4 linked regions of the Arabidopsis thaliana genome follow. The protein of the gene in region 1 purifies or fractionates together with the protein of each later gene. This does not show direct contact. Each region holds a gene or a part of one and is shown in the gene's direction. Other genes may lie near its edges.

The links.
Region 2: the proteins of SYP42 (region 1) and AT4G32760 purify together in Arabidopsis thaliana (affinity purification with mass spectrometry, with the first as the bait; one large-scale study listed by BioGRID). This does not show direct contact.
Region 3: the proteins of SYP42 (region 1) and AT1G25260 purify together in Arabidopsis thaliana (affinity purification with mass spectrometry, with the first as the bait; one large-scale study listed by BioGRID). This does not show direct contact.
Region 4: the proteins of SYP42 (region 1) and AT1G27400 purify together in Arabidopsis thaliana (affinity purification with mass spectrometry, with the first as the bait; one large-scale study listed by BioGRID). This does not show direct contact.

Annotation. Positions count from the first base shown.
Region 1 is NC_003075.7:967,752-974,934, reverse strand, and holds SYP42 (syntaxin of plants 42), read left to right. Parts: upstream 1-2,592; 5' UTR 2,593-2,742; coding exon 2,743-2,933; intron 2,934-3,103; coding exon 3,104-3,380; intron 3,381-3,693; coding exon 3,694-3,783; intron 3,784-3,891; coding exon 3,892-3,972; intron 3,973-4,219; coding exon 4,220-4,297; intron 4,298-4,381; coding exon 4,382-4,447; intron 4,448-4,554; coding exon 4,555-4,635; intron 4,636-4,728; coding exon 4,729-4,836; 3' UTR 4,837-4,941; downstream 4,942-7,183. Other genes in the region: AT4G02210 (Myb/SANT-like DNA-binding domain protein), read left to right, coding at 1-48, 139-615; AT4G02200 (Drought-responsive family protein), read right to left, coding at 732-849, 945-1,177, 1,328-1,405, 1,635-1,676, 1,738-1,871, 2,078-2,159; AT4G02190 (Cysteine/Histidine-rich C1 domain family protein), read right to left, coding at 5,584-7,183. UniProt on the Arabidopsis thaliana protein: Contributes to the regulation of secretory and vacuolar transport pathways in the post-Golgi network, and to the maintenance of the Golgi apparatus and trans-Golgi network (TGN) morphologies.
Region 2 is NC_003075.7:15,796,320-15,806,191, forward strand, and holds AT4G32760 (ENTH/VHS/GAT family protein), read left to right. Parts: upstream 1-2,757; 5' UTR 2,758-3,056; coding exon 3,057-3,157; intron 3,158-3,564; coding exon 3,565-3,643; intron 3,644-3,954; coding exon 3,955-4,053; intron 4,054-4,133; coding exon 4,134-4,247; intron 4,248-4,462; coding exon 4,463-4,623; intron 4,624-5,056; coding exon 5,057-5,138; intron 5,139-5,246; coding exon 5,247-5,332; intron 5,333-5,697; coding exon 5,698-5,895; intron 5,896-6,214; coding exon 6,215-6,651; coding exon of another isoform or gene 6,652-6,797; exon of another isoform or gene 6,798-6,839; coding exon 6,840-7,513; 3' UTR 7,514-7,880; downstream 7,881-9,872. Other genes in the region: AT4G32750 (uncharacterized protein), read right to left, coding at 96-520, 776-856, 1,397-1,772; VTE1 (tocopherol cyclase, chloroplast / vitamin E deficient 1 (VTE1) / sucrose export defective 1 (SXD1)), read left to right, coding at 8,662-8,903, 9,204-9,448, 9,659-9,738. UniProt on the Arabidopsis thaliana protein: Might contribute to the loading of the ESCRT machinery.
Region 3 is NC_003070.9:8,851,729-8,858,945, reverse strand, and holds AT1G25260 (Ribosomal protein L10 family protein), read left to right. Parts: upstream 1-3,071; 5' UTR 3,072-3,179; coding exon 3,180-3,207; intron 3,208-3,459; coding exon 3,460-3,625; intron 3,626-3,703; coding exon 3,704-3,794; intron 3,795-3,887; coding exon 3,888-3,946; intron 3,947-4,081; coding exon 4,082-4,142; intron 4,143-4,299; coding exon 4,300-4,390; intron 4,391-4,490; coding exon 4,491-4,567; intron 4,568-4,648; coding exon 4,649-4,783; 3' UTR 4,784-5,412; downstream 5,413-7,217. Other genes in the region: UMAMIT24 (nodulin MtN21 /EamA-like transporter family protein), read right to left, coding at 1-8, 452-568, 801-863, 1,057-1,220.
Region 4 is NC_003070.9:9,512,494-9,519,321, forward strand, and holds AT1G27400 (Ribosomal protein L22p/L17e family protein), read left to right. Parts: upstream 1-2,620; 5' UTR 2,621-2,736; coding exon 2,737-2,739; intron 2,740-2,835; coding exon 2,836-2,872; intron 2,873-2,990; coding exon 2,991-3,031; intron 3,032-3,134; exon of another isoform or gene 3,135-3,257; intron 3,258-3,510; coding exon 3,511-3,741; intron 3,742-3,825; coding exon 3,826-3,928; intron 3,929-4,018; coding exon 4,019-4,086; intron 4,087-4,184; coding exon 4,185-4,232; 3' UTR 4,233-4,577; downstream 4,578-6,828. Other genes in the region: AT1G27385 (phosphoribosylformylglycinamidine synthase), read right to left, coding at 78-327; TOM20-2 (translocase outer membrane 20-2), read right to left, coding at 976-1,107, 1,279-1,383, 1,558-1,605, 1,697-1,866, 1,953-2,031, 2,321-2,419; AT1G27410 (DNA repair metallo-beta-lactamase family protein), read left to right, coding at 4,733-5,024, 5,108-5,310, 5,394-5,501, 5,585-6,250; AT1G27420 (Galactose oxidase/kelch repeat superfamily protein), read left to right, coding at 6,615-6,828.

The DNA of each region.
Region 1 (7,183 bases):
CGTCAAATGGTTACAGCTGATAATAATGTATGGCAAGACTATATAAAGGTAACTTAATCGCTCTGATCTATGCTGTGTGGTTAGTTACAGTGTTTTCGTCTCTGTTTTGATGTGTGTTCTTGTCTGAATTAATCACAGGCTCATAGAGATGCAAGGCAATTTATGACTCGGCCAATTCCGTACTATAAAGATCTGTGTGTGCTCTGTGGCGATTCTGGGATCGAAGAAAACGAATGCTTTGTAGCTATGGATTGGTTTGACCCTGAAACTGAATTCCAAGAATTTAAGTCCAGTGGTACTACAGATTTGTCTATTTCAGCTGAGGAAGAAGATAGCAACTCTCTTTTGTTTGACCCCAAGAACAAAAGAGATCAACTTGCTAATACTGATACAAGCCCTATAAACCCGAAAAAGCCTCGAGTTGATGAAACCCAAACCATGTCAATAGAGGACACGGTTGAGGCTATTCAAGCGTTACCAGACATGGACGATGAACTTATATTGGATGCTTGTGATCTGCTTGAAGATAAACTCAAGGCGAAAACTTTCTTGGCTCTAGATGTGAAACTACGCAAGAAGTGGTTGTTAAGGAAACTCCGACCTCAAGTGACTTGAGGATTATGAGCTGTAAAGAAGCAAAGTAGAAGTTTGACGATAAACAGAAGCTCATTGGCTTATACTACAGAGTACAGACTACTTTGCGAGAGTTTCATATACAAAGACTTATGCTCTTAGAAGTTGTAAATGTGATCAAATATGGCTGATGATATTAAACCTTGTACAAACTCTCTCTTCTTTGCCTTCTCTAGTAGCTCTGTATCTGACAAGGGAGACGGCGATTCCCAGTCTCTGAGCACACAGAAATACGAAATGTATCTTTAGACAAGGTTTAAGAAGATGAGATAAAGCAAGCAGAATCAAGAAAATGTCAAAGAATTACTTACTTTTCTGTTGAATCCCTTATTAAGCTATTGTCTTCCATGCTTGCTTCACTAGATGAATCAGGTTGTACAAGCTTGGACTTCTTTGGTGACGGCGGATTGTATATAAATGATAATAATGGGTCCAGAACACTTTTAGATGTATGATTAGTAGACAACGGCTCATCGATTAGAGACTGTAAGTATTTCCTAGTCCCTGGAGAAAATGCTGAATATGACTCATCCTTGTAAAGTCTCTGCTTTTGTTCAAGGTAAGTATTCGTCAAGGAACACAAATGTCAGATAACCGATATAAAACATACCAAGATATAGAATAAGCACAAAAAGACTTACAAGTTTTCTACTAAATGGTAACGAAAGCAAGAAGAGTAAATAAAAAAGGATACCTTGAAGACATCTCTATGCTGAGTGGTAATGTGATCAACCATATGCATCTTCACTCGTCTGCTACAAACCGGACATATCTACATCACAACCAAAGCTGAATTTGTGAGAAGTTATTACATTCATCATCACCAAAAGACTGTTTTCATTTCTCACACCAAACACTTCACAACTACAAAATGGTTCCTCATAGCATCAAGCAAATAATCCAAGTGAACTAAAATCCAAGAAGTCCCTACCAACTCTCCTTACAGAATCACAATCCTGCCTACTAAAGTAACCATTAGAGTACAACAATGAACATCACACGATAAATAGTCTAAATTTACAACTAACTGCTTCATGTAAAAACTCAAATGTATAGTTTAAAGAACAGTAACTGATTTGGGAGATGGATACGAGTTGCAATTACCCCATTGTTGGCGTCTAGTTGATGCTCCTCATCGATATGGTGACACAATTCAACTAAATCATAATCATCTGAGCAAAACGGGCATGGATAATCCACTGCCATTTCATCATCATCTTCAAACTCAATACATGAACCTAAACAAAAATTTCACCATCACAAAACTTTTATCAATTACATAACATAAAGTTTACCCATAAAGTGACAAAATTTAAACTCACTAGACCTTAAGGGCCAAAAGAATTGAAATTTGATAAAGAAATTAAAACCACCTGCATATAAAGCATAAACCCTAAAACAAAGCTAAATGCAATTGGGAAAAAGAATGGATCTTTACACTAACCCGACTGATACTTGGCAAGTTCTTCTAATCGATATTTCTTCGACGAATCAAACCCACAAATGCCCAACAAATCTTCTTCCATTTTGATTCTGAATCCACACGAACTTGAATTGAAAAATCTCAGATAATAATTAAAGGAGCATATTCTTCCTCCGTGTATTTATTAGCATCTGTCAGTACTTTGTTCAGCCTGAAAGTGCGAGGAAACACACCAAAAAGGCAAGACCTTTAAATGTGGTCTTTTTCTCTGGCGACATGAGGGAATCCATGGACACGAATCTATTGAGCTAAATCCAATGACCAAACTACCCCTAACCGGTCACTATAGCCTCTTTTACCCTGAACCACCAACGTCCCTCTGTTGACTTTTAGCCGCCACGAATCTACGGGCATTTTCGTCTTTGCGCCACCGTCTTAAAACGTGTGCTCCACACACTTATATTGACCCTATCGCGCAAGTGGACTATAAGCCCAATATATAAATGGGCCTAAAAAGGCCCAAATACTTCTCCTTCGTTGCTAAGTCTGTAACACGCGCTAATGAGAAACGATTTTGCGATTCAGATTCGTTTGCTTTTGCCGACGACAAAAGCTCCGATTTTGTTTATTTTCTCCGGGAAATTTTACTTTCGAGATTCTGTTGAGAATCAATTGATTTGGTATTGATGGCGACGAGGAATCGAACGACGGTGTACCGGAAACACAGGGATGCGTGTAAGAGCGCGCGTGCTCCATTATCTTTATCGGCGTCTGATTCGTTCGGTGGTCCGGTGATCGAAATGGTTAGCGGTTCATTTTCCCGGTCCAATCACTCCTCTTATGCTCCTTTGAATTCCTATGATCCTGGTCCATCAAGGTAATAATATAATGTGTTGTTTGATTCTGCAAAACCTGGGAAATTCTATGAACTTATATATAGAAACGAATTGTAATCATGGGATTGATTTGAGATACAGAATTAGAACCCTAAACGAATTAGGTAACAGAATGAGCAAATGATTTAAGTGTTGTTGTGAATGTTTGCAGTAGTGATGCCTTCACAATTGGTATGCCACCAGCTTGGGTTGATGATTCTGAGGAGATAACTTTTAATATACAAAAGGTGCGAGACAAAATGAATGAACTAGCAAAGGCACATTCAAAGGCTCTTATGCCTACATTTGGAGATAACAAAGGGATTCATCGTGAAGTCGAGATGCTCACTCATGAGATCACAGATTTGTTGAGGAAGTCAGAAAAGAGATTGCAGATGTTATCTACTAGAGGGCCTTCTGAAGAATCAAATCTCAGGAAAAATGTGCAGGTAGGTTGTTGGACACTTTTTCAGAATCGAGCTTGTTAACAATAAAGAATGCATGGTCATTACCTTTTCTTTTGTGCTTTTAGAGAAGAAAGTTAGGAATTTTGGGTTAAATCACTCTCATATGTTTTGACTACCTATCTAGTTGACATTATCAGTCAGCAAAATGTATGAAGTGTTTTTTTTTCCCTCTATATAATGTACTTTGGGTTATTCTATGTTTTGAGTTTGTAGCATGAGGATAAAGTTCTGTGTACATGTATAGTGGGGCTCTCCAATGGACTTGACCTACTTTTTGGCATACTGCTTTTGACAGCGTTCTCTTGCAACAGATCTTCAGAACCTTTCCATGGAGCTCCGCAGAAAACAGTCTACTTACTTAAAACGTCTGCAGCAGCAGAAAGAGGTATGTTTCCTTTATTTTCAAGAAATAAACAAAAAAAGTGTTGATTCTTGAGACATGCATGTACCGTAATATGATGTTCTTATTTGTATTTGGCTTCTCTAATCATAGGGTCAGGATGAAGTAGATTTAGAGTTTAATGTGAATGGAAAGATGTCGAGACTGGATGAAGAGGATGAACTTGGTGGGATGGTAAGTGCTTACTTGTATTGTAAAACTATATATCATTGACAAATTAATAAGGACTTAATATGGTTATCTAGCTAGAGCAATTCAGATTTTTAATCAGTTATCCTTGTCTTCCTTACATTTTTAAGAAACACTTCTTATGGTTATCATGCTAGGACGAGTCAGATTTTTTTTAATCAATCTTCAGAACCTTGTCGTCCTTACTCTGCCAATACCATAATGAGAATCGCTGGTCTTCAATAAATTGTAGGGTTTCGATGAACACCAGACAATCAAGTTGAAGGAAGGGCAACATGTCTCAGCGGAAAGGGAACGAGAGATACAACAGGTAATGGAAGTTGTTACTCGACCATATTTAAGAAGCTGCGTGCTTCACATTTTCGATGGCGATTAACTTCAGAGTTCTGTCTAGGTTCTGGGTTCCGTGAATGACCTTGCACAGATAATGAAAGACTTATCAGCCCTTGTGATTGACCAGGTGCCTAGCTTAGTCATTAAAAGGCTTATGAATTACATAACTGGCTAGATACAAAGTTTTTGCTGGCTTCTCAACAATTAGTTTTCTTATATTCTTGTATCAATTAGGGCACGATTGTTGATCGGATAGACTACAATGTCCAAAACGTTTCTACATCGGTCGAGGAAGGCTATAAACAACTACAAAAGGTTTGATTCTTTACCCAAAACTCATAAGATTTTGTGAGTACTACAGATTTTTCACCGTATGGAACTCACAAAGACATTTCAATTTTTAAATAGGCGGAGAGAACACAAAGAGAAGGAGCAATGGTGAAATGTGCAACTATACTCCTTGTACTCTGTTTGATCATGATTGTTCTTTTAATTCTTAAGAATATTTTGTTTTAGTCATATGCCAACAATTTAGAATGAAAAACAGCTTGTCTTGTTTGTAACAAACAGTAACCCTCTCTTTTTTCTAGTTGAATTCTCTTTTCCAATCGTTTTACCAAATCTGTAGAAGTATTTTGTGTAAACCGTAAATGGTTAAAATCACTATAGTTAAGAAATAAACTGACACTAAACTACCTAGTGGGAAAATGTGATAATCACTACAAGAATCACTAGTCCTCCAAATTCAATAACACATGAAGGAAATCAAGTAATCAACTCATAATGAAAAATTGAAAATGATCTTTTTGTGCAAGGGAGAAAAAAATAAAACAAAAACGAATGCGTTGGCTTCACACACTTTAGATTAGCAAACCTAGACATATAAACTCATAGAGAAACTCGTGACAAGTTGTTTTGAGGCTCATGTTAAACAAAATTTTGTGACACTCGTGCAAGACGATGATCGTCCTCTTGAACTAGAACAATGAGCCGAGAGTACTCCTCTCAGTGCTATGCAAACACAAGCTCTTTGGGTAACTAGGGTTACCTCTTTTTGTTTTTTTATTGATTTTCTTAAAACAAAAGACTGAAGAACAAATACTCGATACAACTCTATTTATACTCAAAGACTCGATTCCTCCTTGGACCAGGATTCAACGGAAAACCTTAACGAAAAATAAAGGAAAAATATTCAAACGACCCTAATAATTTCTTGAACACAGAAAAACGTGTGTGACACACAAAGCCCAAAACTAAACATCATCAGTCTCTCTTTGTAAAACGCTTTATGCAAATATCAGAGCAAAGATAAGAAACTGAGGTTTCAGGTATCTTATAGATGATAGGGTACATGCAATGCGACTTACACTGCCTGCAAAACGGGCGAGATACATTCTTGTTGAGCACAACCTCATATGATCCCGTCTCAGCCTTTACTACGCTTCCTGGCATGAGCCCTGAAAAGTCTCCGACTACACACTCTGTGTGCAAACTAGCCCATTGATCTTTACATGTGTAGAACCATTTCTCTGGATTCATTTTTTTCTCACAAATCTCACACCAATATATACCATTTGCCTTTTCGCCATAGCATAGTAAGAGAGGATAATCGTCAACTCTATGCTTTAACACTCGCGGTAAAGTGGCGCATTTGAAGCATAAGACAAATCCACAACCATCTTCAATGCACCTGAGCATTCTAGTTCCCGACATGTTACAACCATTGCAGACTTCTTCCATCTCTGGTGAAATGTAATATAAGGGATGATCGGGATGACTTGGATGGACAAATGGCTCCAACACTGAACAACATATGACATCTAATTTCATATCCCCATATTGGTAACTGAAACCATTGGAGATTCTACCACAAACATTACACCAAAAGTGACCAGCCTCGCGTGTAAATAAAGTAAGCCGTTCATTGTGTAGCACATGTCGTTTCCTTTTAGGAAATTTAGCACAGTTTTGGTGAAGAATGAAGTCACAATCCATACAACCATAGAAGGATTCGAGGCAAACGGAATGGGTGCATGCGCTGCACCGCTTGTTTTCATCACATAAAACACCATTGTCGTCGAGTTTTAGGTAATGCTCTTCGTGGCTGAAATGTTGTATTGTGTTGTCATCTATTACCACATACGGCTCTATATCTTCTGTTTCTTCAATAACTCCTTCGAGTTCTTTCCCGTTCCACACATCTTTTCTTGTAGCACATTTGGAATGAACGACATAGTTAGAACACCTTTGACAAGAATAACCTCCCCAAGTCCAATCCACTTTTTGGCGACAAACTCCACACACAGAATATACAAGACCCAGAAGATTAGTGCGAGCAACACGGTGATCATGCCGATTTATGTTTATAAGGCGTGGAAGGGTAAGACACTCTTGGTGGATGATGAAATTACATTGAACACATATGTAAGGGCTTCGATCTCCCTTCAGCCCACAAGCATTACATGTAAAAGAGTCGAGTCTTGGGAGAAGAGTGAGTTGGTGATCATGAGTTTTCGAATCCTCGAAAGATATTGATGGCGGGTTTAAAGCACAACGCATATCCAAGGTGAAGTTACATGGAGAACAATGATAGAACAAAGGGCTATCGATCTTTTTTTCGCAAAGACGACATTTTCCATCAGAATAGTCTGGTAGTTGACCTGTGAGAACAAGCTTAAGAGGGTGCAAGGGGTGGCAAGAGTGATTCTTTACGTCTAGCGGGTGGATTACCTCTGGCAGGTGTTTTACCCCGGATGGATGCAAAACACAGTCGATATGAAAGGTCAAACCACATTCAAGACATTTGTAAGGAAAGCCATAACCAATCTCCTCACATTTAGCATCACAATGAAACTCGATCTTC
Region 2 (9,872 bases), about 15 Mb from region 1:
GAATCACTGAGGGAACAATTTGGTGAGCCCAATCTCTGAAGCAATCATCTTTGGAGGTTTGCATAAGTGTCATACCAAATTCTTCTTTGCAAGAATCAAGATCTTTGCCTGCTTGAAAGAGTATGAGTTACATTCGGCACTTCATTGTAAAAGTCAGGTTCGTCTTCTTCTTCATCAGATGATAATAAAGATGGTCCCATCCATGCTTTAAACCCCTCGTTCACTCGTCTTTCAACGTCTGGTGTGAATTCCAACGGATTAGCTTCAAGCATCTCCAAGCCCTGATCATTTCTGTTCCCAAACTCTCCTTCGTCAATAGTTAAAGCAGCTCTTCTTCTAAGGGAGAAAGCAGTTCCAGCATACAAGATTACTAAACCCCATGAAGAAATCTCGTAGCACCAAAACAAAGGCACAGAACAGCTGCTTCCTAATGTGAGGAGGCTTGAGCCGAGAAATATAGCAAGGAGACCATAGATGATAGCAAACACAACATTCAGAATTGACAGACAACGGACCCCACCTGTGAATTTATTGGACATGATAAAGAAGATCAATAACCTATTTTGAGGTCCAAGCTTAGTGATAAACTCTGAAGAGCCCAGATTCTCAAAGGTAGAAACATAGTAATTACTAGCAGATGAAATAGAATTACACATAAAAATTTATAAGATAAAGTCTGGCACTGAAAAGGAATGAATCTATTACACGAATGCATGGATATACAAAGAACAAATATGGAAAGCTGAATACATATTAAAGAGAGAAGAGAGTATACCTCTTCTTGAAGCACAGTAGTTATTTTCAACGACTTTTAGAAACCCATGACGGTGAGGAGCGGAATAAGCCACAAAAATTCCTGCAGTATTGCAACAAAATAGCGAGAATAATAAGCAGCAGACATACCACACCTGTAAAACTTAGAAGGGCTGCCATGTGGAGGCAGAAAGCAATAAAGGAAATAAATCAGCTCCACTAAGTTACATCCATATAAAATTCAAATCCAACAAAATCTAGCAGAGGAATTAACTGGATTTAGCAAACTCCACAGCTTGCTCTATGGCTAACCCCCTAAAATCCCAATAAACCTGAACCATCATCAGACCTGTCTTTATATAGTGGCTTCAATCAAAACGAGTGATTCTAGAACTAAACATAACAACGAGCATTCAGATTTTGAGGACACATCAATCAATCAACCCTCTCTGACAATATTTCACCTCACCAATCGAAAAATTCAGAAGCCATTTTGCCAGAAATTTGCTAAGCATCAATATCTAGCGTAAAGCCACTCAGAACTGAGCATCATCTAATGAAATCAGCCAACAAAACACAAATGCAAACCCAGCTCTGTAGATATGAAATAACGAAGAACAAAAGCTAGAGACTTGACGCTCACCTGCTACAAGATAAACAGATGATACAAGGAAAATTATAGTCGAGGGAACGAAAACGACCATCCAGTAATAATCAACAGTTTCTTGATCGGTCAAGTAAAAAGCACCGGGAAAGAGATCGGAGTCACGAGCTTTGCCATAGATAGGCAAAGGTTGTAGCTTTATGTCGCTGCAAAATGGCCTCTTAAGAACATTCGAAGGAAATACAATTTTCAAGCTGACGATCGTGCAAGTGAAGATGACAAAACAAAGGAAAGCCACGATCGAGACTAAAGTCGGCCTCTGAAGCTTAATCCAGGCTCTATCTTCTTCCCTAAGGCTCTCGTACTCTTGCTTTGGCATAAACGCTTGACGCAACGCATCTCCAATGATCGCCATTGAAGAAACACAAAAAAAAAACTAATCCACAATCGAATTAGACCCTTCTCACCAGATAATTCCGAAACAATTCAAAATAGGGGTTTCCGAAGTTTATCAGGAACCCTAAATCAATGAACACCGAACTGGGGAAATGAGGAAGAAGTATTAGTGATGCAGAAACAATTAGGCGCGTGTAAAGGTACTTGCTTTGATAACTTCTGTGTAATTACAGTTTGACCCCCAATAGTTTGTTAAAGTTCGAATCTATCCCCACTTCCCGCTCAATTATTATCATAATCATAGAATTAGAATATGCTTAGCTATAGAGTCCTAATTAATTCAACTGATGAAGTTAGAACTAACACTCTTATGCAATTTTGATGTCTATAAATCTAAATTATTTTTTGCAAGTGGGTGAATACATCCAACACAGAAAGTGATAAAGAAACGAGAACTCAATAGAATAGAATAGAGAGTAAATAGATGTGTAGCAAGTTGGTTTAGGTTTGTATCACACCAATCACGACTTTCATAAGACCAAAATGTTTTCTTTATGATGAATTTTGTAAAGATGTGGATTTAACGGTTTCATAGCGTTATCAAATGACACTCATAATTAATTGCATACGTGTGCAATCGCAATCGTAATCGCTGGTTAGTTTTGTTTTGCAAATACTTTGTTTCGATCATTAAAAAGAAAACATTGTAAGCTGTTGAGAATCGACCAATCATCAAACTGTAATGTTCCATCTAAATCTAATTCATTCATTTAGATTGGATAACATTATTATATTTAGCTCCCAAAAACGAAAAAATAATAATACTAATAACTAACATTTACTGTTAGTGAAACGATGACCGTCGGATTTATAGGTGGGTCAAAAGCAACGGTCCGATGGAAAGCAATGACCTGACTGAATTGGTGTAACTATCCAAACACAACGATATGAACACGTGGCAATCTTTTAGTGGACCCTTTTCCAGAAGATATTCGACTTATTTCCTTTTTTGCTATTTCGTGGAAAATAAAAAATGATCTGAAGTACAGAAAATACATTTTTAAAAAACAAATTCTGAAAATTAACAATTAGAGAAAAAGAAAAGAAAAGGAAAAAAAAAAGATTTCTAGTAGAAAGAGAGAAGGGCGTGAATTCCTGAGCGAGAGATTCTTCGCCGGAGTAATCTCTTTGCGTGATCTTACCGGCTGCTTAATTCGTCTTCGCCTGATTCGTTGGTTTCAAAATTCGTCTCTCTCTTTCAATCGGAGGTTAATTGTTTTTCTGTTTGGGGGTCAAAGCGAAGATGGTGAACGCTATGGTGGAGAGAGCGACGAGCGAGATGCTGATCGGGCCTGATTGGGCTATGAACCTCGAGATCTGTGATATGCTCAATAGCGATCCAGCGTATGTTTCCCTCTGCTCCCTCCGATTTTGTTTTTGTTGTTATCTCTCTCTCTCTCTCTACCTTTTGTTTTCTATACTTCTCGATTAGTCTCCTGTAAACTATTGTAACTCTCTATACGGATTTGGATTTTTGGTTCAGTGAGAGAGAGAGAGAGAGAGTTAACAGTAAGATGGAAATCAAATTTCGTTTCTTTACCAGAGTTAGATATTTCCATGTTTTCTAGGACCAATTGGAATACTTGTGGCCTACTGTTTTGCTCAATTTAGTCATCTTTCATAGGGCTTTAATTGTAGAAGCTCTCAAGTTATTTTCTTTATATGCTTTGTGATTGGAAGAAGGAGATTTCAGTGTGTGTACTAACTGCACCAATACTATGTGATGTCTGAAACTGGTTCCTGTTTTGTAGGCAAGCAAAAGATGTTGTGAAAGGCATTAAAAAACGGATTGGTAGCAGGAATCCAAAAGCTCAGCTTCTTGCCTTAACTGTGAGCTCCTAGATAACTGTCTCTCCTTTTTATTTTCCTTGATGGCTACTTCATTGAAATAGCCACTGTTGTTTCTGAAACGGTGCATTTGGATAGCGTGTTTGTTTCACAAACCTCTTTTATTAGTGGAAGTTGACATGATCAGAGATTACTTGTTCATGATACTAATGTACATGATGAGGATTTTAATGACTTACAAGTTTTCTAACAAGAATGATATGCTGATAATTATTTTCACGTTTTTTCATCTTTCTTGTTTGTTTTGCAATGATAGTTATTCACTCATCGTCATGCTTTTTGTTATGTTCTAGCTGCTTGAGACAATAGTGAAGAACTGTGGTGACATGGTTCATATGCATGTGGCTGAGAAAGGTGTTATTCATGAGATGGTCCGGATAGTTAAGAAGAAGGTAATGGTTCTTCCAAATTGGTCTCTCTTTCTCTCTCCCTTGCTCTGCCTCTCTAATCCTAATTGGTCTGATGCATATAGCCGGACTTCCATGTCAAAGAGAAGATTCTGGTCCTTATCGATACATGGCAAGAGGCCTTTGGTGGCCCTAGGGCAAGATATCCACAATACTATGCAGGATACCAGGAATTGTTGGTATGTCTACATAATTTAGTTGTTTGATATACTTATTTTGGGTTTCATTTTTTTTTCCTTCAGTAGAGTAGTGTTTCTGATTCTGGGTGTCCAGATGTCTCATACTGAAATTTTATTACATCTCATAATGAATTCTTCTTAGATCCTTTTGTGAGTTCTGTTAGAAAATCTTCTACTACTCTTGCCTAACCACCAGTGACTCATGTCCCTTTCAGCGTGCTGGTGCTGTTTTCCCTCAGAGATCAGAGAGATCAGCTCCTGTGTTCACACCTCCTCAAACACAGCCTTTGACATCTTACCCTCCAAATCTTCGTAACGCTGGACCTGGTAATGATGTGCCTGAACCTTCAGCAGAGCCAGAATTTCCGACTCTAAGGTAGATATCTTCTGTTGCAACTCCGCAGTTTTAAGTTCATAAATTTTTAACAAAAGCATACAATATTTTGTTGGGAAAATTTCAACGTCCTTGCTATATCTAACAAATTGTCGTAATATATGTTTAGCTACTTTTTGTTCAACGTCCTTCCCTAGTTGGAAGCCTATATATAGGATGAATCGAAGTAAAGAGGAATCAAGAAAATAATCACACTTAAGCAAAAGCCTTCTAGCTTTTGAAAAATGCACGCATTTGCAGTAACGGAGTTTCAATTTTTTCTTGTAAGACTTAATAGGCATGTTCACTAGGGTCTGCTAGTTTTAACTTTGTGTCTGTTTGCTTGCTTTGTTTAGGACGTATATGTATGCCTTTGTTGCTCAGTATTTATTGCTTCTCAAAATTTTATTCTGCTGTATGTCAAATTCTTTTTCAGTTTGTCGGAGATTCAAAATGCAAAAGGTATCATGGATGTGCTTGCGGAGATGCTGAGTGCATTAGAGCCCGGAAACAAGGAGGTAACACGATTTAGTTGCAGAGTGTTTGAGCTACCTGTTTACAAGTGTAGGCTATAGCCCAAAATATACTAAATAATGATCATTCTTCTCGTTTTTGGATTTATTCAGGATCTCAAACAAGAGGTTATGGTCGATCTGGTGGAGCAGTGTCGTACATACAAACAAAGAGTGGTGCACCTCGTCAACTCGACTTCGTAAGAGCTCTTTATTTTCCTCTTCGGTTCCATTTGATTATCTCTTTCATGTCTCATATAAGTTATATTTCTTGGGGTACGAGACGATTTTTTTTTTTATTCTCATCTTCTAATATGCATACATAGTACCACTAGATTCAGCAGGAAATGATTCGTGTTTTGTGTGGGTTTTGGTTTATTATGGACGAGGGTGGGGAGAGGACTTCATTAAGAATTATCTGAAATCCGTACTTGTCTGAGTTAATGCTGCTACTTACTTCACGTTTCAGATAGTATCGTGTGGAATAATACAGTTAGAATTGCTATTATGCTTCAGACCTTATGTTTCTTTGTACTCTTCTTTACCTCGCAACTTTGTTTTTCAGGGACGAGTCTTTGTTATGTCAAGGTCTGGCTTTGAATGATGACTTGCAGCGTGTCTTAACCAATTATGAAGCAATTGCTTCTGGATTACCTGGAACTTCTTCTCAGATCGAGAAGCCCAAGTCCGAGACAGGAAAATCCCTTGTTGATGTTGATGGTCCACTTATTGATACAGGGGACAGCAGTAATCAGGCGAACGGGTACGTTCTACCAAACTTGACTGTTATGCACCCAAGAATGTTGGATAAAATCACCTATTTTTGGATATGGGTTACCGATCCTAGCTGCAATCTTGAGCTCGATATATGGCTTGCACGTCCAAACTATTACAATCTAGGATGTGAAAACGAAAAGTTACTTATGAATCTGGGAGTAACTTTATAATCATTTTAATATAAACGGTGTTAATTTGTCTCTTAACCAAGTAAGAACTGGGGTTTCAGGCCAAGTGACCTTGTAAAAGTTTTTTTTTTGTCTTATAACATAGCTATTGATTTATACTGTCCAACGTTTTCACAGAGCTACATCGAGCTCTGGTAACGGGGTTCTAAATCAGTTGGCCCTCCCTGCACCACCTGTAACTAATGGTTCAGCCAATTCCAAAATAGACCTCCTCAGTGGCGATGATCTTGCCCTTGTTCCTGTTGGACCTCCTCAGCCAGCAAGTCCGGTTGCATCAGATCAAAATGCACTCGCCCTTATCGACATGTTCTCAGATAATACTAATAATCCAAGTCCTGCAACTGCACCAAGTGGCAATCCAGCTCAGAATATTCCTTTGAATCCTCAAGGGCACCAACAACCAAATAGTCAAGCTGGAGAAGCTGGATTACAACAATCCAATGGATTTGCGCCTCAAGTGGGTTATTCGCAGTTTGAGCAGCCATCATACGGGCAAGGAGTCTCTTCTCCCTGGAGCAGTCAGCCTGCACAGCAACCAGTCCAGCCATCTTATGGTAATATATATAAACAGTTTTTGTTTTTCACACATCTGGAGATTAGATTGCAGTATGCCAATGTTTCTCTGGTTATGGCAACAAGGAGAAAGAATTTCCTTCTTTTGGATTCAGAAGAATCAGCTTCAATTGTGTCTCATGTCTAATCATTAATTGTTCTGTTTTTATGGTAATCTTGTAATATAAAGAAGGTGCCCAAGACAGTACGGCATTTCCACCTCCCCCATGGGAAGCTCAGCTCCAAGACTATAGTCCCTCTGCGGAGTCAGGAAGTCCGTTTTCTCCTGGAATGCATCCAACTCAGACTGCCTTCACACATGCTCAACCAGTTAACAACAACAATCCATATCCTCAAATTCCCCAAACCGGGCCACCAGTCAACAATAACAGTCCATATGCTCAAATGCCCCAAACAGGTCAAGCAGTTGCCAACATCAGTCCATATCCTCAAATTCCACAAAACGGCGTGTACATGCCAAACCAACCAAATCAGGCTCTTGGGTCAGGCTATCAACCACAGCAACAACAGCAGCAGCAGATGATGATGGCTCAGTACTATGCCCAACAGCAACAGCTACAGCAACAACAACAGCAACAGGCGTATGGAAACCAGATGGGAGGATACGGATATGGCTATAATCAACAGCAACAAGGAAGCAGCCCATATCTGGACCAGCAAATGTACGGTTTATCCATGAGAGACCAGACATCGCATCAGGTAGCATCATCATCATCTACCACATCTTATCTGCCTCCAATGAAACCTAAGAATAAACCAGAGGACAAGCTATTTGGGGATCTTGTGGACATCTCCAAATTCAAGCCTACAAAACCGACTTCCGGAAGAGCTGGTACCATGTGAAAATTCCTCCATCCATTCATCATTTACCAGTATTCATCTCCTCTATCCTCCTCAGCTAACTCTCTTTCTTCTCTTTGTTAAGCTTTTTTCATCATTGATTTTATTACCCTCTTGGGAGATAACATAGATATACATATGTGTTATGTTCTTCCTTATAATTTACCGTTGGTTATGGGTTTGTATATTTCTTGTAGAGAAAAGAAAACTGGAAAATCTTTTGTTGAGAACTCAGCGATTTGGGGTTTGTCTCGAGATTCTATTTTAGGACATTTTAATCTCTCATTTGTATTTTCAGACCTTTTATTTGTTATATCCATTGGCAATAAAGTTTGATATCAATTGGATGAGAGTTATGGTTCTTAAATTTGCCAAAAGGACAGTTTATGTTCTTTGTATATGATTGCAACCCTAATTCCATAGTCAATGGAGACATCAAAATGTCAAACTATGCTTGCATTATATAATCTCTTTCGACTCAATGATGTCAATTACCGAAAAAGTAGAAAGGAAGGATTTGTTTTGTTTGCGACTGTTGTTAGTTCTTATGTTGCTCGTCGTAAACAAGAAAAACCTGCCATTCGTTTGGGTTTTTGAAATCTAGTCTAACAGAAAGAAACAAGAGACAAATGAAGAAGAGTAAATCTAGTCCATTCATCATCATCAGTCTTTTGGATCGTGCATATATTAATTTGTATAAGAGTCTGTCTAACAAAATTGTCAATATGTCCGAGTGGTTAAGGAGATTGACTCGAAATCAATTGGGCTTTGCCCGCGCAGGTTCGAATCCTGCTGTTGACGTATTCTATTTTGTTTTCTTTTCAGCTCTCTTCAGAATTTTTGTAAATATTTTAAAAGGGAAAAAAATCTCAAAATACGATTTCAATTAAAATTGTAGAGATTCTCCTCACGTCTGTTTGTGAAATGTTGTCTCTAATAAATTTCCGTAAATTACTGAAAACAAGACACGAGAAATTGTTAATTTAACAAAATAAAAATACGTTACGTTTGGGGTTTGCCACGTAACTACTTACCGCCACACGTTCTCGTCCTTTTCTTCTTCCTCTCTGCATTCTTCACAGAGTTTGTCACCACCAACACCAAACACACAATTTCACATTCTTTTGCATATTTCTTCTTCTTCTTCCATTATGGAGATACGGAGCTTGATTGTTTCTATGAACCCTAATTTATCTTCCTTTGAGCTCTCTCGCCCTGTATCTCCTCTCACTCGCTCACTAGTTCCGTTCCGATCGACTAAACTAGTTCCCCGCTCCATTTCTAGGGTTTCGGCGTCGATCTCCACCCCGAATAGTGAAACTGACAAGATCTCCGTTAAACCTGTTTACGTCCCGACGTCTCCCAATCGCGAACTCCGGACTCCTCACAGTGGGTAAATTGATCCATTCCATTCCATTTCTCTTCTCTTGTTTGTTTTATTAAGCTCCAATTTCAGTTTCGTCTTTTAATTTATATGTTCTTCTTACGATCAGTGGGACTTAAAAAATTGCTCCTTTAAATGCTTCAGTATGTTTTGAGTATTACAAAGTTGTAAGATTTTATTTTTATTCATTTGGTGGCTCACCATTCGACGACTACTTTTGAATTTGAGTTTTTGAAAAATGCAATTTAACATCAGAGAGTTTTTTTTTTTATGGTTGATAACTTATTGTTTAACTTTTGAAAAATGCAGATACCATTTCGATGGAACACCTCGGAAGTTCTTCGAGGGATGGTATTTCAGGGTTTCCATCCCAGAGAAGAGGGAGAGTTTTTGTTTTATGTATTCTGTGGAGAATCCTGCATTTCGGCAGAGTTTGTCACCATTGGAAGTGGCTCTATATGGACCTAGATTCACTGGTGTTGGAGCTCAGATTCTTGGCGCTAATGATAAATATTTATGCCAATACGAACAAGACTCTCACAATTTCTGGGGAGGTAACTCCTTGACCCTTAAAATGCTGTGTCATGACAATAAGAAATCATATCTGAGTCTTTTCTCTACTTCTAGTACTAATGTTCGTTATTGTTGTTAAAGATCTAAGTCTTATCTGAATTTTGTTACATTTTGGTTCTGGTGCTTTCTCAACATGAATTTGTATATATGACTTTAAAGATTGCTTACCTAAAGTTTTTACTCATGCATAGATCGACATGAGCTAGTTTTGGGGAATACTTTTAGTGCTGTGCCAGGCGCAAAGGCTCCAAACAAGGAGGTTCCACCAGAGGTTCTCACTCCTCCCTTGTTGGTTACTTTGTTATCTGTTAAATAGTTTTCCAATTGTATCCGGATAGTGTTCTACTTCTCCTTGTAGAAAATCTCAAGTTTTTGTTACTCTTGCTATTCTCTTGGATGTTGATT
Region 3 (7,217 bases), on another chromosome or scaffold:
TCTCCATCCTGTGGGCACGACAAATTGAGAGGATGTTAATTAGAACTAAACGTCATTTAGCCTTTTAAGTTCTTATCAGCTAGAAATTATTCAATCTTTAATCAATGGACAAGTTTGCAAATTAGCTAAGAGATAATATTCCTAAGTTTGCAAATTGAATAATAATCCCATTGCAAATTTCAATGGACAACGTACCATTGAATAATATTCCTCAGATTTCAAAAGTTATTTTTTTTATTTTTTTATGCACATGATTTTATTGAGTTTGTATTTTATCGTTAAGTATACTATGTTGACTAAAATTAATAAGGAACTCTATAAAAAAAAACTAAAACGTCAAAAAATATACAAACTGTGTATAAAATTTTGAGAATTTGTCTTCATGAAAAAAAACTGAAACACATAATTTCATGTAATGAAGACAAAATTGATGATACGCGTGTCTACTAACCTAAACACCAAACCCAACACCAAGGTGATCAATGGGCTAATTATGCTGCTTGCAGCTGAAAATGTCGCTGATGTTCGAGCCATACCCGGCAAGTAGAGAATATTTGGTATCGCCGCTCTGCATGATAGTCAAAAACCTAAAAAAATCAACGATAATTCCATGGGTGCTAAGGATTTAGGATTTATTTGCAATTTGGTAAGTCCAACATTCATCATATATTCAAACTTACACATTGCAACACTGTTTTATCTATGGAATTTAGGATTATATTTCAGTATATTCTTGCCATCAATAGATAAATAAATAAAATCATGTAGCTGAAAAGTGATATTGTACTAGTTCTGAGTACCCGAGCAACCCCGAAACAAATGCTAGTAAGAGCAGCCTCCATGTAAATTCTGGCCGCTTCTTCCTGATTATAAGAAATCCAAAACAAAACATTATAATTAAAATAAACTAACATTGAGTAATAAGTGAATACAAATACACACAAATAACTTGGTGAAGTTGGGGTTATTTGAAGAATATGTGCATATATAGATAAGGTTATACATTAAAAAATGCACACTGATAAAAATAAAAATGTAAGAAAAAGAGTAGGAAACCTTTGGAAGATGAGGGCAAGGGGAAGCATGAAAATAGTAGCAAAGGACAGACGATACGCTACAAGAACTTTGAGATTCGTACCATCGTCGACCGTTATCTTAAACAAAATGAACATCCCGGCGAAGATAAACTGAACCGCCACCATTGCAACTACACTCTTCATTTCTCCCCACATTTCTCTGATTTCGCCCCACAGTTTCTGATTTCTACTTTGATACCCACTCTAAGTCTCTAACTATTAACTATCCAATCCTGTTAGCTCATGATCAGCTCTATTTATGTAGCCAAGGTGTTTTCGTCTTTAATTCTACCTCTATACCTTTTTCATTGTGCTCCACTTCAATTGTATTAACTGTCCAATCCTCCTAGCTCATGATATAGGAAGATGTGAGATTCAAATATTTGTTTCTGGAAACTCGTTACTAAAGTAGCAAAGTTTGGAAGGATTAACCTTCTTGTAGACAAAAGAAAAGAAAAACAAAAGAGTTTATGTGTTGAAATGTATATTCATGATCAAAGGGAAAACAGAATACAAAGTGAAGACGTAATGCAAAAATAAGACGAAACTGTTTATTGTCGTTCTATGAAAGGAGCTCCACAAGCTTTCAAGAGCGTTTCACTGCAAAAGAATCTTTTTTTTTTGCAAAAGCATTTGTTATAACATGACAAGAAAACTATTATACATTTACATCGATGCCACACATTCTTATACGAACGGTAATGCGTTTTACTATATGAGCCAAAATGACAATGCAGAAACATGCTCGGTGCTATTAACATTTATTAAAACATAATTGTGAAGTTAAACAAGATATAAATAAAAGTAACATATTAGGTTGACGTTGACACGTGCTAAGCATGCTTTGTGGCTTTTCCGCGATGGCTTTGCCACACACAAGAACTCCAAAAGAAAGAAAAAGGCTCGTATATCATTATTGTCAGTAAGCAACATGCGTACGTAAAGCCAAATACACTTGGTAAAGATCCAAATGTGGAAGTTTTGGGCTTGGATTCTCTTTCCATTCTTCTGCTCTCTTTCATGTGACTTGCATAAAGATGATACGACCAAAAGTGAAAACCAAGTATCAATTCATACATACATATTATAAGAATGAGAAAGAAAAAAAGTTATATTCATACTGACCCAATTAAAATTTCACACACAAAAAAACCTCTAGAGAACGTTATGATACCCCAATTGAATGTCATATATTTTCCATCATTTTCTTTTATGCCATAGATCGAGCCACTATCAATACCACTAGCTATAACAATCTCGAGCGATTTTTGTGTGTTTTTTTAATTCCCCCGACGGAACTAATTCCACTCATCTCTTGATCTTTTCGCCATATAGCACGACATATATATAGCCCACATACAATCAATATTGCTCCTAGTAAAAATAAAAATAAATATATTGCTTCAAGTACACTTCAATTTGAAAACAATAATATAGTGTATGCTTATAAATATTATCAAATCTTAATAAATAAATTGTCTTTTACCTTCCCAAATAAACTTCTCGTCCAAGAACAAAACACAAGCCACGGCGACTACTACGAGCATGAGAAGGGTTGAGGACTTCTACAAATGAGTGGACCCATCCCCTTAGTCTCGAACAAATTGCCAGTAGTGAGATCACTACTCACTACTAATGGTTGTTCCTATTGTTCCCTATACGTTTACATTGTTTAATTTCCGAGCATTCATATAAATAATTTATAATTCATTATTAAGAGGTTTAATAATATGATTTTGAAAGTACCACTTTTTAATTAATTTTTATAACATTAAATTTAAAACTTTAATTTCTTAACTTAAAAACTTTTGCACAACAAAACAAAAAAAACTAAAAACACTATAATCCATTTAAATTTAAACTAGTACACCCTCCAATGACAAAAAAAAATCGGCCCAGATTTCTGATAGCTAAAAGGCCTGAAACGGGCCGGATCCGGATCGGGTTGAATTAGGGGTCCAGATTAAAAAGTGCGAATTAAAGCAAACAAGGGAACAAGGGTTTCAGTTTCCCTGAAGAAAATTGAAAGGAGCTTAATAAACAGAAGCCGTTCTCCTTCACTTTCGTTCCTCTCACTTCCATACAACATTTGAAACCTCAGCTATGCCTAAATCAAAGCGAGATAGACCAGGTTAGAACTCTTCTTCCTTCACTCTTTCTGCTCTCTATTGTCTGAACCATTGTATCTCTGTCACTGGTTTTGGAAGCTGTAACTTTTGTAGCCGCCGTCAAGGGTTTTAGGGTTTTGTTAGGTTTTTAGAGGAACCCTTTTGAAAAAAACTTTAACTTGTTGGAGTTAGTAATGTTTTTTCATAGCTTCTATGGTTGAATCGATTGATGAATGGTTTATCTAAGGGTTTTGTTTTCTGATTTTTTGCTGCAGTGACTTTGTCTAAGACGAAGAAGAAAGGAAGAGAGCATAAGGAGTGTATTGTGAATGGAATTAGGGAGGCTGTTGAAAAATATTCCTCTGTCTATGTTTTCTCTTTTGAAAACATGAGAAATATCAAATTCAAGGAGTTTAGGCAGCAGTTTAGGCACAATGGAAAGTTAGTTTCTTTGTCCTTCTTCTGGTTGATGTTAGAATTACTTGAATGTTATGACTGACTCGGTTCTTATTTGTCTAGGTTCTTCCTAGGTTCGAACAAAGTGATGCAGGTTGCTCTTGGTCGTTCTGCAGAAGATGAACTCCGTTCTGGTATCTACAAAGTCTCCAAGGTTTGTGTATTCTGCTTCTTACAATGGTTCTTTTATGTTAAATGGTCATTTTTTGTCAGTTAGATTTACATATGTTGTGGAATGTTGTTTCAGCTGCTTCGTGGTGATACTGGACTTCTTGTTACTGATATGCCAAAGGAAGAAGTCGAAAGGTATCTATCTATGTATCTCTTGACGTCCTCTTTTTTCCTCTTTTGCTTTGGTGAAACAACAGTGACGGGTTTGAATTGTATACATGTCTAGTTGTTGTAACTGTTCACAATACTTCTTCTGGTTGTGTATTGCAGCTTATTTAACGCTTATGAGGATTCCGACTTTTCAAGGACCGGAAGCATTGCAGTAGAAACGGTTTGTGAACAGAACTTGTGCCATCTCTATATACTGTTGTTTCTAGATAAATAAATAAGCTTGACTATGATCAGGCTCTGCTTCTCTTTGTTATTTAAAAAACTTTGTTTCGTTACTTTTATCTTAATTACTATATTGGTACCACCTAAATGATTAGGTTGAACTGAAGGAAGGTCCTCTAGAACAGTTCACACATGAGATGGAACCACTTCTTCGGAAGCTTGAAATGCCTGTACGACTAAACAAAGGTCTGTCGTCTCACCATCTTAATATTCCTCTTTCTCATACTCACTTTTGCTATCTATATTAATCCAAAAACTTATTTCTTCTTCTTATTTTAATATGTAGGTACTGTGGAGTTGGTCGCTGACTTTGTAGTTTGTGAAGAAGGAAAACAACTTTCGCCAAAATCAGCCCACATTTTGGTAATAAGACTTCTGTATACCAAAACCCTTTCCTTTTAATTTGTATGCTTTATTTCTTATACTTGTTTGTTTACTTTGCAGCGTCTATTGCGAATGAAGATGGCTACTTTCAAGCTGAACTTGCTCTGCAGATGGAGCCCTAGTGACTTTGAGCTTTACAGAGAAGATCTGTCAGAGCTTTACCGAGAAGATCTCTCAGACGTTGAAACCTCTTAGGAAGCCAAGATTTTGACTCCACCCTTTAAATTTTTCTTAATATCATCACTATCACATGGATTTTATATTGTGGCACATGGTTTGCATTCAAATGTTTTAAGTCAAAGTTTTGCTTGCTTTACATGTTTTGTAGAATATCAACTTATCTTCAAGAACCCCCTATCCTAATATTGGCAAATCAATCTTGAAAACCTTGTTTTTCTTATTCAGCCACATTATGGAATTTCTTACTCAATTTGCTTACTTTTTACAGATTTATAGATGGTGTTGGGACCGAATTAATTGGCATGCGTATGATAATTTAAAGCAAGTTTTTCTTCTTGTCTTTAAAATTATTGTGGTCCATGGGCTTGAGAGCAGTCCAACAACGTTCACACGTCGTCCATCTCTTTTGATAATTTCTTGTTTTTTGTTTTTTTGTTTGTTTTTTAGCAATCCGAAACTATTGCGTTTGACTAGGTGAGCTTAGAGTTGTGATGTTAGGGATAGAAGCAGTTTTCTACGAAAGGGGTTGAAGATACTATGAGGCGAATGCGGTTGAACAAAATAGAACCCACCGGAGATTTTGGTAAAAGATTAAACGGAAAGGCGATACTTCCAACTCCGACGTAACAAATGTTTAGTTGTAGATTTTCAACATTTTATGAATTTTGATAACATATTTTTTAATTAAATTTTGGTTAACATATTTTTGTTATAAAAAAAAAATATATACATAAACTACGGGTTCTCTCATTTTAAACAAGTATAAGTATACTATTATGTCTTAATATATTTCCTTAACATTACATATATATATATATATATATATATATAAAATCGAAAATACGATATTCTCTCATTTAAATATACTCAATCAAATATCAACTTTCTGTTTCTTGTTTTCTATCCGCAGATAATGCGGGATAAATTGTTTCCTAATTCATGTATGGGACTTTTATTGGATTTACGGAGTTTGCCTATACAAATTTAGGTAAGTTAGATTGGAAAAACAAGTTCCATATACTTTATCCTTAATTTTTTTGCTTATTTCTTCTTTCCTAATGAACAAAAAGATTTTGTTAAAAAAAAAAATGTAAATCAAGGAGATCACGTATTGAGGTGAGATGAGAAAGAGAGAGTGTGTGGCTTTAAAGAAGGAATAGGATGGAGTAAGAAAAGTGAAAAAGGAGAGAAGGAAGGAAATCATGGAAGTGAGTGAAGAGTCAGGTGAGAGAGACTGAAGCCTGACTCCTAACCACCATTTCAATCTTTTTGGCACTGAAATTCATGTCGTTCCTTTTCCTGTAAAGGAAACGACAACCACTTCTGCTCTTAAATCACCATTTACTCTTCTCTCTCTCTCCTATGCGTTTCCATCATTACATTTGTGTAATATATGTATCCACAGTCCACACACTCTCTTTGACACTGATTTTGGCTTTTTCATGATGGGTGGGCATCTTTGAATTTCTTACTCCCATTTTATAGCACATGGTTTCTCATACTTGTAAATATGCCAAGATTGTACTGCTTCTTATTCTTTTATATATAGTAATAATGTTAACCAAAAAAGAGTGTTTGTTACGTTAAACTCAAAACCTTTAATTAACCATTTCAAGCTCACAAGGGATGATATAGTCCCTTTCACAATGTGTTTAATTAAGATATGTATATAGCTTTCAAATGCAAACAATTTTCTTACCATATGGTCAATTAAACAACAACCTAATGTGTTATATATCCGTCACTAGTGTATGAAACTTTGACAAAAACTATCTCCAATTTTTTATTTTTTTTTGTAATTGGAGGCAATAAACTAGGAGCCTAAGACACCACTTTTTTTTTTTGGTTTTCTAATACATATGCCTTTTTTAGTGTAAAAGGTTAAAATATTTTTTCATATGGCATCTTGCAAGATTCCGTCTTTATGTGAGAGAGATGATTTCTTGTTTGGTCGGATTGAGACTAAGCTACAACTACGAGAATGTAACGATGGGAAAGAGAAAGAAGCGACTCGTGATCATATTTTATTAGGTGTACATCAATCATTTCCACCTGAGATTCGTATGCAGAAAATTTGACCTCTCTATCATTTTTTTCTCTCGAATTTAATGCAATTACTACTGCTTCCCCTCCTCAATCAATGCTCCATTCATTATTTTTGTTTTGTATAGAATTCTCCACTAGTTCTAAGAGAACAAAACATTTTCTAAAACCTTATCATTATGCTTCTTTCATCAAAATAGTTACAACTTACACCAACCAATCAACCAAACCCCACACCATTTAACTACCATATGTAATTTACCGCTCCTCTTTCTTTTCTTCTTTTCTGGAAAAAATCCTAATTAAAATATATTAAGCTACCCAAAACCAGTTCAAAACTAAATTAAATGCTAAATCAAGGAACATTTAAAATGAAATATCCTCAATTATCACAACAACAACAAAA
Region 4 (6,828 bases), on another chromosome or scaffold:
AATCAAATCCATTTCGGCCAAACGAACAAAACCACAAAAATTTGAGATACTAGGAAGAAATTAACGAAGGCGCGCACCTGAGATTGCCTTGAGAACAGCTTCTTGAGGCGGACCTTGATCGGATTGATCGTTATGGCTGCAATTAAGCCGAGTAGCCCGCTCGGGAACAGATGCAAAACCATTGAAACATAGACTCTTTGGCGCCGGGAACAAACCATGGACTGGAACTGATGCTGGAGAAGGAGGGAGAAAGAAGCATCTACGTGCGCCGGAAGTCCGTCGTGATTCCGATACGAAAACGGAACGCAAAATCGTTTTGCAAGCCATTTTTTGAAGCTTCTCTTTGGAGATGAGTCGAACGAAAAAAAGACACAACGCTGCGTTTGGTTATTTATAAAATTTCTGGCGTTGGCGAGGGATAAGGTAAAGACAGTTATGCCCATAGGTTTTTGTCTTCTGTTACCATTCGCTTTGGGGTTATTAGAGTCTTTCACTAGGCCCATTTGTGCAAGCATTTTAATTAAAGTTAGCAAGTGAATCTAATCTAATCATTTTAATCAAAGTTAGCAAGTGAATCGCACACGAAATCATCTTAAAGCGTGTTTAGTTAAGAGTATGTATTAAAGTACGTAACAAAAAGTACATAGCATATAGTTGAGAATACAGAATTGTTGCAACGGGAAATTTTCTCCTACCTTCTTTAGAGTTTCACTTCTCATAGGTTATTCTTACAGGAAGTTTCAGCATCTTTCTGTAAATAAGAAACTCATAGACATCGTGCAACACAGATAAGAAGAAACCAAAAACCGATATGAAGAGACAAAACATCCTAATAATAAAGTAAACAAATAAATTTGTTGGTACTATAGTCACAAACGGTTACTCTTCAACTTGGTACCAGGAAATGTAACTAGGTGTTTCAGTGTGCAGGCATTATTTCTTACGGAATGCTCATCACTACTATGGCTTTAGGCTTTATCTGGCAGGAGGTGGAGGGCCAAGGGATTTTGCCATGCCAACCCAAGCAACAATCCCACAAGCGAGAATTATCCAACCGCATACATCATAAGTGAATTCAGTGTTCCTCTTCTTCTTCTTACTACTCTGCTGCAAAAGCAAGGCAATTTCTCAGAGCAACCACGAAAACTTATAACCCACATATGATATGAGATTCTTTCACTCTCTGCTTATGTTCTTCTGAACATGCTGCTACTAGATAATAAGAAGATGACACTTTTCAAAACATTGGACAGCATACTTAAACACATGATAACTTACGCTAACATTAGATGAAGCCATTCCTCCTCCACCTCCTCCTCCTCCTCCACCTAGTATTTGCTGTCCCATTCCTTGATTCATAAACTGCATATGCAGTTCCGGGGCCTATTCACATAGACAGACAAAAACATGAGCTCAAATGTAAAAGAAATACAGAAGAAGAAGATGGAATAAAATGTTCTCTCCTTGTTATTATAACAGCAGCAATTGTCTCCATGATTAATGTTATAATTTGCGTACACAAAGATTGACTCTGAAAATGGAATGTTGAAATAATACCTTTAGTGAGGAATCCAAGGACTTGCGATATGTGTCATTACCTGGATCCTGAAATAATATAATAGTAAGAAGTTGGTCTCACAGCACTCACAACAACATAAAAGTTTCAAATTCAAAAGCATAAAATCTGAAAATGCACCTCATTTTCTGCTCTCTGGAAATATTCAGTGGCTTTATCAAAGTGCTCTTTTGCTTCTTCAGGATCGTGAACATAAAACGCGTGGGCGGTGTACGCGTTGGCAATACACCAAAGAGCCTGATGCTTCCCTGGATTTATTGTCAAGGCCTCTTCCAACTTGGAAATAGCATCTACATGATCAATAATATTTCGTTACATTTCAGAGCAAAGATGAATTTGAGGCGTTTATTTTAAGACATTAAAGAAGAGATCATACCATTTAACATGAGCTTAGCTTCAGGAATAGGCTGGAACTGTGAAAGTTCAAGTAAAGCTCCACCCCATTTCAGCAGATTCTACAGAAAATAAAAATGTTCGCAAAGGTATTCTTAATATGACCACATATCAAAAGAAACTCAGGAAAAAATGTAATTTCAGAGAAACATATAATCAATCTCATAACATAAATTATAATATTTCCATCGAATTCAAGACCTAAACTACACATAGTGACAATACATTCACGAAATCCATCTCCACAAAACATCCTTAATATTCGTTACATATCAGGTCCGATCATATTAATCGAAATGAAGCAATTTCACAAATTCTGAGGAGAGGGGAGGACAAGTAGAAGAAAGAAACCTCGGAATCAAGAGGATCGTTCTTGTACTGAGCCTCAGAATTTTTGCGAGCATGTTCGAACATGATAAGCCTTTCAAAGTCGGCGGTAGAGAACTCCATCTTCAGATTCAGGTGAAAGAAAATCTAGGGTTCGGTGTTTTTGTTACTGAGAAAAGTCTAAAGAGTTGTCTCGATGTGAAACAAGTTCCGAGGGTTTTAGCCTACAAGTCGGGTGTTACCAGCACATAATTGGGCTTTTTAAGCCTACTTATCAAGATAAGTGGCCCAGAAGGCCCATATGAACAAATAGTACTTTAATACACTAGTTCAACTAATGTATTCGCCGATTAGGGTTTCTTCTGTTTCACTATATATTAAGTGTCTCCAACTACTGAGATCTCTATCCTCTCCGTCCTCTGTTCTTCTCATTGGCCGCCATGGTAAATGCGTTACACTAGACTCGTCGTTACAACGTTTTCACTTCTAACTTATGCTCCTATACTTATGTTCTTCGTCTTCTTATTGTTTTTCTTCAGGTGAAGTACTCTCAAGAGCCCGATAATATCACCAAATGTAAGAACACTTTCATAGTCTCTGTTATTTTTTGCTTCAAGCTACACTGTTATTGGCTTACCTCAAGCTATGCAATGAGTATTCATTGAAATGGTTTCGATTGGTTTTGCGTTTGCAGCTTGCAAGGCGAGAGGAGCCGATCTCAGGGTCCACTTCAAGGTAAATTTCTTGTACTGATTCCGGATCTCAAAAATGAATTAGATTAAGTGATTTTCCTATGGGGATTAAGCTTGTAGTTTGAATAAAACCTGATTAACAAAAAGCAGGGTTCTGTTTTATATAACAGACCTCACGTAAATGTCAGGAAAATCGAATTGGTCATTGTGAATGGGTGAGCCAATGTTACTTCTAATAGCATATGGTTCAGTACATGATGGTACATTTTAGCTTAGCTCTGAATCCTTTTTCAATTTTCAGTATTGTTGATTAGGTCATGATTGTAGTATCTGGGTTTGTATAGATGTAGTCGTTCAATAATTTGCAATACACCAAATCATTTACATTAGGTTTGAGGTGCTAAATGTTACTGTGCCATTAGGTAAATAATCACACTGAACAGTATTGTTGTCATTCTAGTTTCATTGTTGATGATTTGGATGTGTCTAATTGTGTTTTTGAATTGAATTTGTATGAAACAGAACACTAGAGAAACAGCGCACGCCATAAGGAAGCTACCATTGAACAAGGCCAAAAGGTACTTGGAAGATGTCATAGCTCACAAGCAAGCTATCCCCTTCACCCGTTTCTGTCGTGGTGTTGGTCGTACCGCTCAGGCAAAGAACAGGCATTCGAACGGACAAGGTCGCTGGCCTGCTAAATCTGCTCAATTCGTTCTTGATCTTCTCAAGAATGCTGAGAGCAATGCTGAGGTTGGTTTTACGACTCTTTTTGTTTTGTTGCCATGGTGATTTTAGTTAGTTACTAAAACTTTTTGTAAACCATTTGGTTATCAGGTCAAAGGTTTGGATGTCGATGCCCTTTTCATTTCTCACATCCAAGTGAACCAAGCAGCAAAACAGAGGAGAAGGACATATCGTGCTCATGGAAGAATCAATCGTATGTCTTCTTTTCTATTCGACTGTTTTTACAACGTTTGTTTCTTCATTCACATTGTGCTGACTCTCGATTTAATTCTATCTTATGCAGCTTACATGTCAAACCCATGCCACATTGAGTTGATTTTGTCAGAGAAAGAAGAGCCTGTGAAGAAAGAGGTAATTTAATGATCCCAACGCCTCTCTGAATATCTTCAAATACTTATATTTCATCTTCATCACTGATCTCACATAATTTTTGTTGGGTTCTTGCACAGCCGGAGACACAGTTGGCAGCAAAGTCAAAGAAAGGAGCCTCATCTTAAGCTATAACATAGACAGTCTATTTGTGCTCACTTGTGTTACCCTTAATACTTTTTGTTAGCTTCTCTCTATAAGACCAATACTCAATTTTTAAGTATGATGATTATCGGTTTTTGGATTGCTGAAAGAATCTCTCTTTATCCTTGGTATTGATAGATGAATAACTCATAGTAAAATCTTGAAATATGTTTTAGAGATGGATTAGTTAAGACTTGTTAAATCGTCGCCCAGTTTGTTCATAACGCTCATTAATATAATGACCAATACATCGACTACACAGTCTGATAAAACGGATGGATTAGTTTTGAACTCGAGAAAGTTCGAAATGTTATGTTACGTAAGAGCAAGTAACACTTTCATTCGTTTGTAAAACCCAAAACAGACCCAATCATAAATCATCATAAACGGCCCAAAAGACGGAAGGAATCATCGTCACTAAGTGGGCAAACAAAAATGGTGAAACTGCAAAACACCTGCAATTTCAATTTTCAAGGAATCCGAAATGGAGAGTGGTCTGATATCAGTGGATCGATGGAGAAATGGAAGTCAAGCCTACTTCTTGACTCATATACACTCCGATCACACTCGTGGCCTCTCCGGCGGATGGTCCCAAGGTCCTCTCTACTGTTCCCGCACCACCGCCTCTCTATTTCCCTCCCGTTTCCCAGGTTTCGACCTCTCCTTGCTTCGCGTCGTCCCTCTCTTTTCCTGGACATCTCTCTCCCTCCGCTCTCCTTCCTCCGGCTCCACAGTCCGCCTCCATCTCATGGCCATCGATGCTCACCACTGTCCTGGTATGATAAAAGTCTAATCTATTTCTATATAAGGCTTCGCTTTCTCAGTGGTGAAATTTGAATTTGCTGGTATAATGTGGTAGGATCCATAATGTTTTTGTTCCGGGGAGATTTCGGATGTTTTCTCTACACTGGAGACTTCCGGTGGGATTCTGATGCATCAGACGAAGCTAGAACCACTCTCGTTGCTGCTATTGACGAGTTTCCAGTCGACATTCTCTATCTGGATAACACTTACTGCAATCCAATTTACAGTTTTCCTTCCCGTCTAGTCGCTGTTCAATTGGTTCGACCTAAACCCTAATCCAAAAGCCTTAAACCCTGAATCATGTTTCTCTTTGTTATATTCCTCATCTCCTTTACTTGCAGGTTGCTGATATAATTGCTTCTCATCCTTCACATGATATCATCATAGCAGTTGACTCTTTGGGAAAAGAAGACCTCCTTGTTCATGTTTCCCGCATTCTCAATATCAAGGTTTCTTATAGTAATCCTCTGCTTCCTTCATCATACTCCAAATGGATTAAGAGTTGAGTTTCTTTTCTTTGTATGTCCTTTAGATTTGGGTTTGGCCAGAACGTCTTCGTACCATGCATCTCCTTGGTTTCCAAGACATTTTCACTACTGATACATCTCTTACAAGAGTGCGGGCTGTCCCTCGTTATAGTTTTAGTATTCAGACTCTCGAGGGGCTGAATACGATGTGCCCAACTATCGGTATCATGCCTTCAGGTCTCCCATGGGTGAAAAGACCTTTCAAAGGAGATGACAAGCTCTCTGGTTCTTTTCTTACTGCAAGTATGAAGAATGAAACCGTTTCTGCGAAGAAAGAATTAGAAGCAGCTGCAGTGCATAAGTTCCATGACTATATGTACTCGGTGCACTACTCTGATCATTCATGTTATGAGGAGATTGGAGAGTTTATAAAACTTGTGAAACCAAAGAGCATGAAAGGAATTGTGGTGTCATCATCATCGTATGTTGACCCTCTTTACTACTTTGGGCGTATCTGTGGAGCCAACCAACCGCCACAAGTGCTGCTTATGAGGCCTGACATCGCAGAGGAATTTCGAGCTGTTAGGATTAAGTCATATTCTGCAAGTGACAAGACTAGAATGTTGGCAAAAGAAAAAAGGTGGAAGCGAGATAGTCATTCAAGTTTGAAGAGAAACAAGAAGAGAGCACGTATCCAAGTAAAGTGCGCAAAGATTTTAGAGGTTGATTAGCTCTACTTGCCTCTGGGTGGTGTCTCACGTTGATGTGGCGGCTTCTTTTTCCTCAAGGTTACAATGGTGTCTATGTGAATGGTCTAATACACAATCCTTTTCTATGGGAGGAGTAAGTAAAATTTAAGATAATATATGAATTATTCAGTTGAATAGAAAGTCACTATCTTTTAAAAAGTAAGCAGTTGTTTGTTTATGCTTAGTTAACAAAGTCTTGATTTTTAAATTCGAAAACACTTGGTCAATGTTTTTGTCTTTTGTATGTTATCCAAATGATTACTCAAACCATTTTTTATAGCAATTTTTGCACATTATTAAATGATACAATGAGTGATTAAGGGAATGAGTAAGTAACATCGTGACGATGGTGGTGGAGTCGTCGTCGTCTCCGATCATACCTGGCTTGACGGATGACGTGGCAGAGCTCTGTGTCTCGAAAATCCCGAGGTCTAGCTTTCAGATCACTTCTCAGGTGTGCCGGCGATGGAGGTCATTCCTCAGGAGCCAGCATTTTGCAGCTGTTCGAAAGTTGACCGGAACGGTGGAGGAGTTCCTGTGTGTTCTAATGGAAAGCGAGT